2 linked regions of the Rattus norvegicus genome follow. The protein of the gene in region 1 purifies or fractionates together with the protein of each later gene. This does not show direct contact. Links are inferred from orthologs where the notes say so. Each region holds a gene or a part of one and is shown on either strand. Other genes may lie near its edges. The genes, in order: Edem1 and Canx.

What was found.
Region 2: the proteins of Edem1 (region 1) and Canx purify together in Homo sapiens (affinity purification with western blotting; 6 studies listed by BioGRID and IntAct, with this or other methods). This does not show direct contact. The link is inferred for Rattus norvegicus from reciprocal best matches to the Homo sapiens genes EDEM1 and CANX.

What each region holds. Positions count from the first base shown.
Region 1 is NC_086022.1:143,362,525-143,369,319, reverse strand, and holds part of Edem1 (ER degradation-enhancing alpha-mannosidase-like protein 1), read right to left. Parts: intron 6,732-6,795; coding exon 6,659-6,731; intron 2,448-6,658; coding exon 2,344-2,447; intron 1,221-2,343; coding exon 1,049-1,220; intron 1-1,048. UniProt on the Homo sapiens protein: Extracts misfolded glycoproteins, but not glycoproteins undergoing productive folding, from the calnexin cycle.
Region 2 is NC_086028.1:35,152,833-35,160,121, forward strand, and holds the start of Canx (calnexin precursor), read right to left. Parts: upstream 5,026-7,289; 5' UTR 4,930-5,025; exon of another isoform or gene 4,882-4,929; intron 1-4,881. UniProt on the Homo sapiens protein: Calcium-binding protein that interacts with newly synthesized monoglucosylated glycoproteins in the endoplasmic reticulum. It may act in assisting protein assembly and/or in the retention within the ER of unassembled protein subunits.

The sequences.
Region 1 (6,795 bases):
CCTTGCCTGACACTGAGGATTCTCCCTCTAGAGCCATGAGCACTCTTCTGTTAGGTCGCTCTGGGTCCTGGTTTCATCACAGCATCAGGAGTGACTAACAGGAGGTCACACTTAGTAACCTGTAGCTATAAATGGCTTCTAAACTTGAAGGAGTGTCTAAAGCACTCCTTCTCAGCAAACGCAAACAACTGTTGGACGGGAAAGGAGCAGAAGCTGAGCCACAGGATGACAGCCAGTTTCGTCATGGAGGTCCTGTGGTCTAGCACTTCTCCCTGCTTACAGAGAAGGCTAACACAATTCCCAAAGGAGTTATTTGGCTTGCTAAATCAGATGCCACAAATATACAATCTCACTCCAGCATCTAATTGGCTGGTTCTGCAGGCTTCACTTACAGGCATGCGAAGCATTTAAATGAACATTCACTGAGCTCTTCCAATACATGAAGATCTTTGGGAAGTATATCCAAGTCAGACAGAAATGAAGAAACATTCTCCATACTGTCTCATAAGAGAAAATGCAAACCACACAAGAGGACGCATGGTTCTTCAAGGTGAAAGGCTAACTGCTCTATTACCGTATGTTTAGCACACAGAAGGTACTCAGTAAACGCTCAAAATTTTAAAAATTGATATTATGGGGCTGGAGAGATGGCTCAGCAGTTAAGAGCACTGGCTGTTCTTCCAGAGGTCCTGAGTTCAAATCCCAGCAACCACATGGTGGCTCACAACCATCTGTCACTCAGTTACCTCGCACAGACATTCAGGCAGAACACCAAATGCAGATTTCTAAAAGATGACCAAATCTTCTCCAAGGACACTGCTTGGTTCTTATAATCAGACCCATCCCTTTTATAGGAGTCTTAATTCAAGAACACAGTGAACTGTGAACCACAAAGGAACAAGGCGGCCAGGTCTGGTAACTCATGCCTGCAATGCTAACACCTGGAAGGCTGAGGCAAGAAAACCACAGTTCAAGGCCAGCCTGGGCTACATGGCACAAGGCCATTTCTCAAAAACCAGCAAAACAACGGAACAAACCAGTCACTTACCCGAGGATAGGGGATCCCTGTCTTGGTGTTTTCAAAAGCTGGAAGAAGCCGCACAGCCAGGTCATGGGCCATGTACAACAATTCGTTATCATAATCCTCAATTGTCATGTCACCAAAGGGCTGTTTGGAGTCAGTTATTATTCTATGAGCAGAAAGGAGGCTTCCCAGAACCCTAATAGCAAGAAAATAAAAATGATGATGATGATGGTGGTGGTGGTGGTGGTGGTGATGATGATGATGGTGATGATGATGATGATGATAGTACAGAATCCAGTTTACAAAGACAAAAGATGACTCTACTTTTCAGGACCTAAGCTGCCTGGAGCAGCAGGACCTGATTCAGATTCCTATATAGGAATCCTATATAGGATTCCTATAGTCCTCTCTGGCTCTAAGTAACTGATCTTCAGCTCACTGCATTGCTAACAAAAAGAAGGGGAATCATCTATTCAAGACAACTGAGGATTCTGCCTAAAGCATGAATTTCTTGATCTTAGGGCATTAAGAAAAGGAACCATGACTCTTCTGCAGGTCTGACTGTCTACAGGGAGACTGAAGAACCACGCCCATGTGTGGTGAGACAATCTGAGGAGGGAAATGAAAAAGTGGGAGATCCTGAGAAACAGAAGGCTTCCCTCTGATTTATGGCCTTGTAGATACATAAATGTCCCATCGAAACTGTCTAAAAAGGACTGCAAGATTTTTCAAACAAATGATTTCTTTTCCTTGTTTTAGAATAAATAATTTCATAACTTCAATTTCAAGGTTCAAATCTGGATCTGGATTGTTGCGTAGCAATATAATTTTATTTAAACATTGAAAGGGTCAACTTTTCACCCTAGAGAAACCCAGGCACAAAACTGGGTATAGGCTGAGTCCACCATATTTAGCAAAGAGTGAGTGATAAGTGAAAACCATACAGGAGGAAAAGACATCAAAAGAGCAAGCAGTGTTTCTTGTGAGTGGAGAGATGCAGAACTCCATTAAAAACATGAATGAGGGCTGTGGAGACAGTAAACGAGGAAATCAGAAAGGACATGAATGGAGTCAGTGGAAGTGCATCTGAGGGGCACCCTCCTTTATGGACCCTATAATGAGTGTTTCTGTGCAGTTCAAACCTCGATGACATGCACACATCAAAACTACAAGTTTCCATAGATACTAAACTACAATGAGCATAAATAATAGACGTGGAGTCCATACATGCAGACCCTGGAAGAAATAACCCTCGGGAATCACACACACCCCTCACCCATACACCAGAAGTCTTCAACCCATTTCCTGTGCTACGTTACCTTATCGTGGCCTCAAAGACTTGGACGGTGGAATCTTTGTCAAATGAAACGGTGTTGATCACTAACTTGACTGCTTTCTGGAACTCGGATGAATTTCCCATTATCTTTAAACAGAGGAACACAAAACATTAGAGCAGCTTGAAACTGGCACTGAAATGGCAGCCGGCCGCTGCACCTGTGTGTCTGTACTGCCTATGGCTTTGCCACAGTGGGAATGGAAGCCACAAGTCATTTCTCACATTCTACTCCAGGACAGACAGCAAGCCTGTCTCTTACCACTCACTCAAGGGTCCAAGCTCCAAGTGGCACAACTGTGTGAACAACACAGAACCAGCCCTGGGGTGTCTGGTCTCCCCACTCCCTTCTCCTCCAAGCTCTGAGCTGACCTTGATTTACAAGGCAGTTTCTAAAACATCATGGAATAGGAGAAAATAAGCCAGAAAATTAAAATGTGACTCTATCTCTGCTTTGTAAATAAATCCAAGACATCTGAAAAACTAATCAACCGTGCTTTCCATCCAGATGTGTGAGGGTTTTGAGAAACGGTACTACCAAAACAGCATGAAATTGGGAAATGGTTTGGTGGGTAGAAGCACTTGCCATGCAAGCCTGACTGACCTATGACCTGAGTGCAGATCCCTGAACCCATGTAAAGAGACAGCAGTTTGCCCTCTGATCTCCACACAAATGTTGTGGCACATGCTTGCCCTCACACACAAACATATATACACATGTACTGAAAAATAAATATTTAATGTATAAAATCAAAATATGTTCTACTTCCAATTTAAAGTTAAGGTTACTATGCGACATGTGTAGATATAATACCCCAGTGTCCTACTCCCTTCTTAAAGGGCAAAACCGTCACAAAATACTCAGTTTGACCTACATAGAAATAATTTGATTTCACCCATATTTTAAAACCATTTTTGCCTATGGTCATAAACATAGACACCAATAAACAAGTGGAGAAATAGATAATAACATCAAGGAGAAATGATTCTTCAAACACTCCTTCTTTGGGGTGTGTCTTATCTCTTACAATACTGATCAATATGTTTCTCAAATCATATTATTTGCTAGGGTGTAGAGCAGACACAGGCTTTCTGTTCTCAGTTTTCCTTTTTAAAAGATCATGCAATCTCGTTCCGACTGTATGCAATGGTCTGGAGACTCTTTTCCCCTGGGCATTCGTGCAGCTTATCTGCAAACATCTGTTGAAAATGCTAACAAAAGAGAAAAACTTCAACCTAAGGACCTCATGAGAAGTGAGCCAACACACTAACATGTTCAAGACCAGCTACTCTACTCTGAAAAACCACAGAAATAGGTCTGTTTCCTCACAGATGTTCTCCAAGAACAGTATTTGGTGCACCTGCAAATATGATCTCAGAACAAAATGGGGAAGGTGATGAAATCTAGGCACACCAAATTATACACATTAGACAGCCAGTGAGCACAAAGTAACCAGGGCACAGAATTGCATGGGCCTGAGAAAGACTGACCGGATAGAGGAGGAACTTCTCAGAGCCTTGAAAATGCTGACGTTCAGCTCTATCCCTAATTCCAGCACTCCGGAGGCTGAGGCATAAAGATGGTCACCAGTTGGAGACTTTGACTAAAAGAACAAAATACTTGCCTCATGTGTGCAAAGTCCTGGGATTAATTTCCAAGTCCACCAACATAAACAAACAAGCACATCATTTGCAAGGCTGAGGCAAGAAGATTACTCCAAGTTTAAGGCCATCCTGAACCTTACTGTTGAGACCCTGTCTCAAAAATTAAATAAACAGGGCCAGGAAGATGGCTCCTGATACCAAGTTTGACAACTTGAGTTTGATCCCTGGAACCCAAATGGTAGGAGAGAACTAAGTCCTACAAGCTCCAAGCTGTCCTATAACCTCCACTGACATGCTGTATCATGAGCACACACACATAGGCACTAAATAAATGCTCTTAATTTGTTTAAATTAAATAACTTCTTTACCTCAACGCAAAAATTAAATAAATAAAATGCTGTTGTATGATGCGGATCTCTAAAAGTCAGAATTCCTCTGGTTTGCTTAAGAACTTTACTATTCAAGAGGTGCACCCTTAGAATAGATATTGGACAAAATTGGATTATAAATATTCACTTAAACAAAAATCTCCAATCCTACTAAGTAGCACTTCCTGTCAAGTGTGGAGTAGCACAACAAACAGTAATGACGGCATCTCTGTCCTTAGCAAGCAACGGGGTAGAGAGACAAGATGGGATGAACAGGAGTGCCCTCGAGGGTGAGCTTTCTGAAGCCACACATGCACCTTCTGACTCTCCTTTCCCAACAGCAGGCTGAGTCAGCCTCTCGCAGCTCCAGCGCGGTAGCACTAATCACACTGCACTTACTTGTCTGGGCACATTCTGAGAAGGGATGATGGAGACTTAATGGAGCAGCAATCACTTCAGAAGGAAATACTGGGAGACTGAAAGTTCTCTGTGACTAGAGCCTAGAAGGAAACCCAGCAGCCCTATTAGAACCAGGGCCCCCTCCTCTTTCTGCTATCCATAAAATGAAGGTAGACAACATCACCTCCAGCTCTCTCCGAGTCCTGCAACTCTACTACTAGCAAGACACAAGAGAGTCACGGTGTGAACTTAGCTCCCTTAACGAATTCCAACTCCTACCTGACAGCTTTAGACATGTCTTGGTGACATTTAAAGGAATCAGATAAATTACTGAATACAGGACTTGATGCAGGATTTAATAGCTTTCTAATAGTAAAGATGACTCAGAGAGAACAGGCAAGAGTTTGTAAAGTTACTAAGGAGATTGCAGAACACTGGCAATGTCCCCTGGAAAGCATGCTCTGTGGTGCTATGCATTAAGCACTGAACAGCCTGACACGTCCAGTACACTGAGCGCCTTCAGAACATGCCTTGCCTTTATGTTTCAAGATCTCCAGCTTCCAAGGATCAATGAGGGACGCCAAGGGATGAGAGGTGTAAAAGCGGGATGCAGCTGGGTAAACAACGGCCAACACCAAGAAGCAGGAAATAACTGGTGTCCACAGAGAGGGCTGCATGCACGGGAAGGCACCCTGCACAGACACCCCTGAGGAGCCAGGAACTAGAAGCCATTTAGGATAGCTTCTCTTGAAAGCTTCTGGGTTTTGCTCTTGAAGCCCTGTGTTACAAGTTAAAAAGAAAAATAGTAGGTCCCTAAAAAAAGGCTAACAGAATATTACCCTTCAGAATGAACCCTTAGGAGAGAGCCTTCCAGCTAAGGCCATTTAAAAAGAGAGAGCAGTTAGGAGAGACAGGGTCCCAAAAGGAGAGACTGGACTCATAGTTCCAGAAAACAAATAGAAGTTCTGATTCTTAAAGGCTCTTAGGGTTTGGGGCAGGCTTCATACTTCATAGTTTAGCTTAGTCTGATCTATGTACCAAGGGCACAGCGATGGGCACTTAGGAGGAGCATAAACTTATCTTATAGCTAGCTACATGAGAAGAAGCCACTGAGAGGCACAGTATCCTTTTTATATGAGCTCTGTCCCAGAGGGAAAAGGTGACTGGAAAGTGTGACCTGATTTCTGGGAGAAAGACATACAGGCTAGAAGGTGCGCGCGCGCGCACCCACACACACACACACACACACACACACACACACACACACACACACACAGTAGTTTGAATGAGACATCCCTCATAGGCTCGAGTATTGGAACACTTGTTCCCCAGTAGCTGGTGCTATTTGGGGACCTTTTGGAACCTCTAGGAGGTGCAGCCTGTGGAGGAAAACATGAATGATCATCCAGCTTCCTGATCCAGCCATGCTTTTCCCAGCACTGAGGCCTACCCTGCAGAACCGTTAAGCCTAAAGAAACTCTCTCTCCTTCAACTGGCTCTTCACCCTGGTGTTTCAGCACAACAACAGGAAAGTAGTTAATGCAGCCTGTGACCTGACTGTTCAGCCTTCCAGGATATATAAGGTTTCACTGTTTGTCATAGTTTGAGCAGTGAAGAAATATCAGGTCATCTGACAGGATCCCTCCTCCAAGTCAATAACTAGCATGGCAAGGGAAAAGAAACGCTTTTTAAAATCTAGCCATACATTTCTTCTCTACCTTTAAAGGAGAGCCACATGTCCCCTCACTTAACCTTCCATGCTCTCTTGCCTTCCCAGAAAGGTCATTAAAATAAATAACACTCATCAAAGCCTTCTGAGTACAGCATTTCCTGGAATTCCCACTCCTTGGGGAAATGAAGAAATACAGTAGGCCCCCAAACACTTTACCTTAATTATCTTAATTAAGGAAGAAAAGGCTGAACACTTACTGCGAGTGTATCCAAGGCATCAACCAGGGTCAGAGAGTAATTTCCTAGTACATCGTTGATGTTCAGATTTGAACTGAAAAAGAAAGAATTAAAACTAAACAAAGGCATTTTCATTTAAAGTGAAACCAAAAAAAAAA
Region 2 (7,289 bases), on another chromosome or scaffold:
TTCTAAAATAAAAAGCAATTTGTGAAATAGCATGGAATATTTAAAATGTGATTTTTATGGAAGCCATGCATTCATCCTGTTCATTTCAGCATACTAATGTGAGTTTATGTTCAGGCTTGTGTGTACAAAGGACACAGACCTATGTCTTCCTTCATCCTCCTCCACCTTACTTTTTGACACATGGTCTCTAAGAAAACACTACCTGGCCAGTGTGCTCTAGCGTCTCAGTTGTCTCCAGCCCCGAGCACTGAATGCTGACAATCTGAACTCAGGTCTTAATAACAGGGTAAGGGCTGGAGAGATGGCTCAGCAGTTAAGAGCACCGACTGCTCTTCCAGAGGATCTGAGTTCAATTCCCAGCAACTAGATTACATGGTGGCTCACAACCATCTGTAATGAGATCTGGTGCCGTCTTCTGGCCTGCAGTCACATGTGCAGGCAGAATGCTGTACATAAAATAAATAAATCTTTAAAAAAAAATTAACAGGGTAGACACGTCACCATCTCATTTGACATAGTCTCTTAAAAAAACTTTTGGTCTTAAAAAACTTAGGTCGTGGCAAGGAATACTTTAGGTGGCCTAAAAAACCCATATAAATTCTAGGGGTTTCTATTACTATTTTATATATTCTGCCCAATATGTTTATAAACACATGTTCAAATCACAATTCCTGGTTAGCTACTCAATAATGTGGGTCAACTGCTAATCTCTGGGCCTGGATTTCTTCTCTAAACCAATACTAACTTCTACTGTAGAATTGCTGACTAGGTTAAACGTATCTCAAGTGCTTATGAGGAAGTCTGTTTTAGTGACAGTTACTAGATATTGCTAATATTTCTACTTGTTGATTTTTAATGAATTTTAAAGCAAGTACTCTAAACTTTATTTGGGGGAAAATATAAGCACCTAGTTGTATTTATTACTTATGTGGAAGTCAGAGGGTGACTTCCAGGAGTCAGTGTCTTCTTTCCACCAAGTAGCACCCAGCAATGGCACCCATCAGGCCTGGTAGCAAATATCCTGACCCTCTTACCATTTTTCCACTATTTGTGTATGTTTGCCTTCAGATTTTACTACTGCTTACACCTTGTCAAAATTTAAAATATGGGCTAGAGAGATGACTCAGATATTAAAGGTGCTTACCGCCCTTGCAGAGGACCTGATACCCACAGTAAGTGGCTTACACAATCACCCATAACTCCACTCTCGGGGATTCTGCACTCATGTGTGTATATACACATAGAAACACACGATTAAAAAAATATATATACAACTTTTTAAAAAAGGCCAGAGAGGGGTCTGAAGGGATGGCTCAGTGGTTAAGAGCACTGACTGCTCTTCCAATGCCGAGTTCAATTCCCAGCAACCACATGGTGGCTCACAACCATCTGTAATGAGATCTGGTGCCTCTTGTGACCTGCAGGCATACATAAATAAATCTTTAGAAAAAAAAGGATAAAAAAATAAAAAATAAAAAAAAAAAAAGGCCAGAGAGAAGGCATAGAGGGGAAAGGTACTTGTCAAGAAGCCTAAATGCTGGGGCTGGGGATTTAGCTCAGTGGTAGAGCGCTTGCCTAGGAAGGCCCTGGGTTCGGTCCCCAGCTCCGAAAAAAAGAACAAAAAGAAGCCTAAATGCCACAGCACAAGCACACACAAACAAAAAACAAAACATCTTGTGAGAATTATAACATTTAATAGGGAAAAATACAGCTGTAAATGCTCATCTATTAAATAATAAAAAATATGCATGATTACACACTCCTGTAGTCCCTGAATTTGGATGATTAAGTGAACCCAGAAATTCAAGATTACCTTGGCAGTCAGGAGATACAGCTGAGTAGTAGACTAAGTTCAAGGCTCTAGATTCCATCCTTAGCATTTGGGGGTGGGGTGGAGTGGGAGTGGGAGGAGGGAGACACCTGGGAAACAGTGTGATCTGTGATCCGCTCTATCAATGAGATCTGTAATACCTTACTCACAGGTCAGATTTCGGGTTTTTGCTTTCATGTGCTGGGAGTAAAGCCCTTGGTCTCAAACTTGCTAAGCAAGCGTTATACCCACCTTCTTGGATCTCTTTTCATTAACAGAAACATAGAAATAATCTGTTTCTTGAGACAGGGTTTCTCTGTACAGTCTTGGATGTCCTGGAACTCACTCTGTAGACTAGGCTGGTCTTGAACTCAGAGAGAAATCTATCCTCATGCAGAGATCAAAGGTGAGCCACTACCACACCATCCATCTACTAAATTTTTTTAATTAACTTTTTTCATATTAATTCACTTTAAGATGTGAATACCCAGGATGGAGAGGTGGTTCAGTTCCCAGATGGGCAGCTTATGACAGTCTGTAATTCCAACACCAGGGAATATAATGCCCTTTTCTGGCCTCCACGGGCACCCATGAATATATTGTATATAATTATACCTATATACACATAAAAATGTTTTTAAATATATCTTTTATAAGATTAAAAAATATATATATACAACTTTTTAAAAAAGGCCAGAGAGGGGTCTGAAGGGATGGCTCAGTGGTTAAGAGCACTGACTGCTCTTCCAGAGGCCGAGTTCAATTCCCAGCAACCACATGGTGGCTCACAACCATCTGTAATGAGATCTGGTGCCTCTTGTGACCTGCAGGCATACATAAATAAATCTTTAGAAAAAAAAAGGATAAAAAAATAAAAAATTAAAAAAAGGCCAGAGGGAAGATGTGATTTCATGCACATAAGTATACTGTCCTCAGACACACCAGAAGAGAGCATTGGATCCCATTAGAGATGACTGTGAGCCACCATGTGGTTGCTGGGAATTGAACTCAGGACCTCTGGAAGAGCAGCCAGTGCTCCCAACTGCTGAGCATCTCTCCCGACCTAAATAAATCTTAACGAGATTTTTAAAAAGACATTAATACCACAATATGAAAATTTTCTAGATTCTTTAAAAAAGGAAATTTTTCAGAGCTGAAGACATAGCTCTGGTTAAAAGCACTGGCTGCTCTTCCAGAGGACCCAGGTTTGATCCCCAGCACCAACATGATGGTTCACACACATTGGTACACATACATACATGCAGGCAAAACACGCATACACCAAAAATTAGATAAATAAGCCTAAAAATTCTTACCTAGCACTTGTAGCAATAACAAAGCATTTAATAAGCATGTTCCTAATGAGTTTTACAGTAAGTTATACAGACTACAACTATCTTTGGTTGGCACTTTACTTCTTAGGACTTTTTATGAGCTGCCAATTCTATTTGCCCATTTCCTTATACTTTCCAAAGCAGTTTCTTAGTAGCTGCCCCCTCAAAGGTAAAGCAAGTAGGAGACTCATTCCCATTTATAAAGGACAGGAAGCAAAGCTACTATGCTGGACACTGTATTCTGCAGTTATGCTTACCAACTGCCACTCTACTCCCTTCAAGTTCTCTGGCAGGGCAAGTGACCTCTCCAGGACATGGATGCAAGGTGTGTTGTCAAGATGCACGTGCCTTGTGGCCCTTGAAAGATTACAGAGCTAATTGCACTGTTAAGATAGCAAGGCGGAGACACCCATTTTTCAGACAGCTCAGTAAACTCCTATTGTGGATAGTTCACTTCTATAAACAGTTCTTCAGGGCCTGGCTCACTTGTGTACCCTGCCTGGCCTGTAAGCTTAATTACAGCTCAAGTACAAAATGAGAATCGATTCCGTTCGTGTCCTTTCAAATGGTACTAGAAAATATACTAAGATTTTTCAGATAACCCAATTATTTCTCCCTTTAAAAAGGGGGAGGATTATTTAAAAAACAGGCAGAATCTTCCATTTCCTCAGGGTAAAGAAACCGTAGCTCATCTCTGTCAAGCATTTAATATTCAGTTCGGTTTAACTTCACACAACCAGCAATCACTAATGTCATGACCAGCAGTTAATATACAAGGTGTCATTAATGTGCCCTCAGGACTTAACATAAAAATTAGTATATCAGTGTAATGACCAAAGCATTCACTCCGACTACAAGAAGCCAGTGCAATTACTACTCCTTGAACCTTTACTATACATCCAATTTCTCATTCCCATTACCTTTTAATACAAGACCAGCCATTCTGTCTACTCCTAGGGGACTGAGCCATAAAGTAGAAAATCTCCCAAATCCCACTTCCCCCGATAAACTGCAGTTAGGAGCTTGCACCAGGACTTTTAACCTTAACTAAGAAACCCAAACTGTCTAGTCCTCAGTTACAATCCGAACTGGATTAGAACTACCTGTATGACCTTGGGCCAGTCATTTCAAACTTCTAGGCCTCAGTTTCCTACACTCACTAACTGAACTTTCGCTTGTATTTCCTGCTTTTAAGGTCCAGTGAATACCCTCACTGGATCACTATCTATCATCACCGAATAGGCAGGTGCTTTAATAGTTAAGCCTTAAGTTTCTCAAGCGGTACACGTTCTAGTACATTCTACTCCCTCATCGGGGTGCTATGGTCCAGACTTCGCTTTGGACATATTATTTTCTAATATTGAAACTGTAACGCTTATCTCTATGGATTTACTTCACCTTTCCCTACTATTTGGGCTACCTACTAGGCCTAATTCTAATACTACACCTATACCGGATTACTCAGTCCACCTCTGGGTGGGCCAGGACAGGGCCTAAGAAAACTCTAGAACCAAAGCCATAGGAAGTAGTTAGCTTTCTCAGAGGTCAAGGGAAACCCCAGGACACCTGCCACGCCTCCCGACCCCGGCGGCGCTGCCCAGACCAGTCTCTCTAACCCTGCCGCTCTCCTCATTGCTCTGAGCGTCCGCCCGGGCCTGCGCCACTCGAATGCCCGCCGGACCCTCAGCCGTCGAGATTCCTGCCACGCCCGACCCCCTCCGCCGCGCCGCCGCTCACCCAGACTCGTCCCAGGCCTGAGGTCCCCGCACACGCTTCCCGTCTCACCTCGAGCCTCCCGGGGACCACTGGCGGCTCCCTCACCTTCTCCCACCCGCACACCGGGCCCCGTGCTGCAGTGGAGACAGCGGCAGAGGCGGCCCGACCGTCACGTGCCGCAGAACTAAGAGGCCTCGGCTACCGCCGCCGCGCGAGCGAGCCCCACCGCACGAAGCCCAACCCCGCGTCCGCCCCTCGTTCCTGAGTGGCTACAACAAACGTCAACTCCCGTCCCTTTGCGCAAGATCTGAGAATCTATTGGTAGATACGGCCATCGCTCAAAGCTCTTTCCCATACGCCCCCTAGGGCTATTCTTCGTGGAGCGTGATGATTGGACAAGAGTGAGGCAGGAAGTGGTTGCTGATTGGGTATGAGGAAAGAAGGCGGCCGTCACCAAACGGGCGGGTGCGCGGGCCGGAGGGCGGGCGGATTTGGCGTGCGTCCTCGCGTGGGTCGACCTGGTTCCTCAGGGCCGGTGTGTTGGTGGCCATCCAAAAGACACCTTTTCCCACCCATTGAGTTAGAAACCCTGTTCCAATCCTGTCTGGGACCTATGCCCTTCATCAGAAATGGTGAGAGGTCAGGCCAGTGTGCTTATGCAGCGAATGAGATCCCTCTGGGCAGCAGACACTGTCTTGCGGAGTCATCGCCCTGAACCTGGGACCTTTTTACCTAACAAAACACTATCTAGAGTCACAATCATGCAACATGAACTCACCTTCCCATGTTCCCGTGCTGTTTCAGGCGTTAAAATCAGACATACTCTAGCGACAGGGTGATGCCATGTGCAGATTTAAAATAGCCATTTCGTAACCCACTCCTTTTTCAATATGGTGAAAACGCTGTAAGATTGAAGTGGCTATGGATTTGGCTATGTCTTTGAAAATCCTGATCGCTCCTGGTTGTGTTTGGTGACCCAAAGCTTTGACTACTGGAGAAAGAAACAGATTTTTATCATCTATGTAACTACATATGAAACCAGCTTTGTTCCTGCTACCCCAAGAGAAAGGCAGTTAAGGATTTGATGTTTAGGTCAATTTAGTAACCGCCAATTCTCCCTAATTTTAAAGAAGAAAATCCCTTTCCTTATTTGCCTTATAAAGAGCATGTTTAAAAAAAATGAAGCCAGGTTGGCACATGCTTTAGTCCCAGTTCTTAGGTATTTAGGAGGCTAAGGCAGAAGAATCCCCTTAAGGATCTGGATAGAGAGAGCTCAGTGATCAAGAGCACTTGCTCTTCCAGAGAACTCAGGTTCAGTTCCCATCACTCACAACTGCCTGTAATTCCAGTTCCAGGGGATTTTATGCTGCCTCGAATCCAATGACAGCGGACATTACATAAGTACACATAATTTATACACACACACACACACACACACACACACGCGCGCGCGCGCGTAAGTACACATAATTTACACACACACACACACACGCGCGCGCGCGCGCGCGCGCGCGTGTGTGTGTGTGTGTGTGTGTGTGTGTGTGTGTGTGTGTGTGTGTGTATTTAAATTTGTTTAGGATGGGTGTTCTGGCTTGTGTTACCCAAGATGGCATTGAATTTAAGAGAACAAAAAAAAAATCCTGCAGAGAGGTGTTAAAATATGTCAGTACTGAAGGAGTAGAGGAGTTGAGGCAGAACTTTTCTAAGAAAGAGAAAGAGGTGAGACTTGGCCTGAACCTCATAGATATGCAAATTTTCTGTAGGTGGAGTTGGAAAGAAGTTCTTAAGATGAGAAAACTCTACAGAAAAGCAAGAAAGCGGCTCTCGGGTGTTTGGGAGATCTATATACAAAAAACGTTTTGAGGGCCATGGGGACGACTCAGCAGGTAAGGACACTTGCCACCAAGCCTGACGACCTGAATTTGATTCCCAGAACTCAACATGGTAGAAGAAGAGAATTGAGATGTACTCTGATCTCTACACAAATTCACATACACACAATAATAAATGTGAAATTCTAATAAAAATGAGAACATGATGGCCCCAAACTGTACAGTCCACTAACAGACTGGGAACCTCAGTTTTCTGACCCTTTCATGGTGTGTCATTATAGAATATTAGTTTCCTTTGAGATTCAGTTTGTCCAATAGCTTAAGGAAGTTAGTAAATATATACCTTCAAGTCAATTAGTGTTAACCTGAGTAGACCTTAGGGATTGATAAACCTTATTCATCCAACACATGTTGTTATTTATCTAAAATTTTCTAGAAGCTTAGTGTTGAACAGTCAGCAAAGATATAAGTGATTAGACATAAATCTCTAAGTCTTAACTCTTTCTCCCCCGACCCTTCCACTGAAACCACTTCCAATATCTTCCTCCTCAATCTCTTTTACTTGATTAGATCCTATTGCAAGCAATAGCACTCATG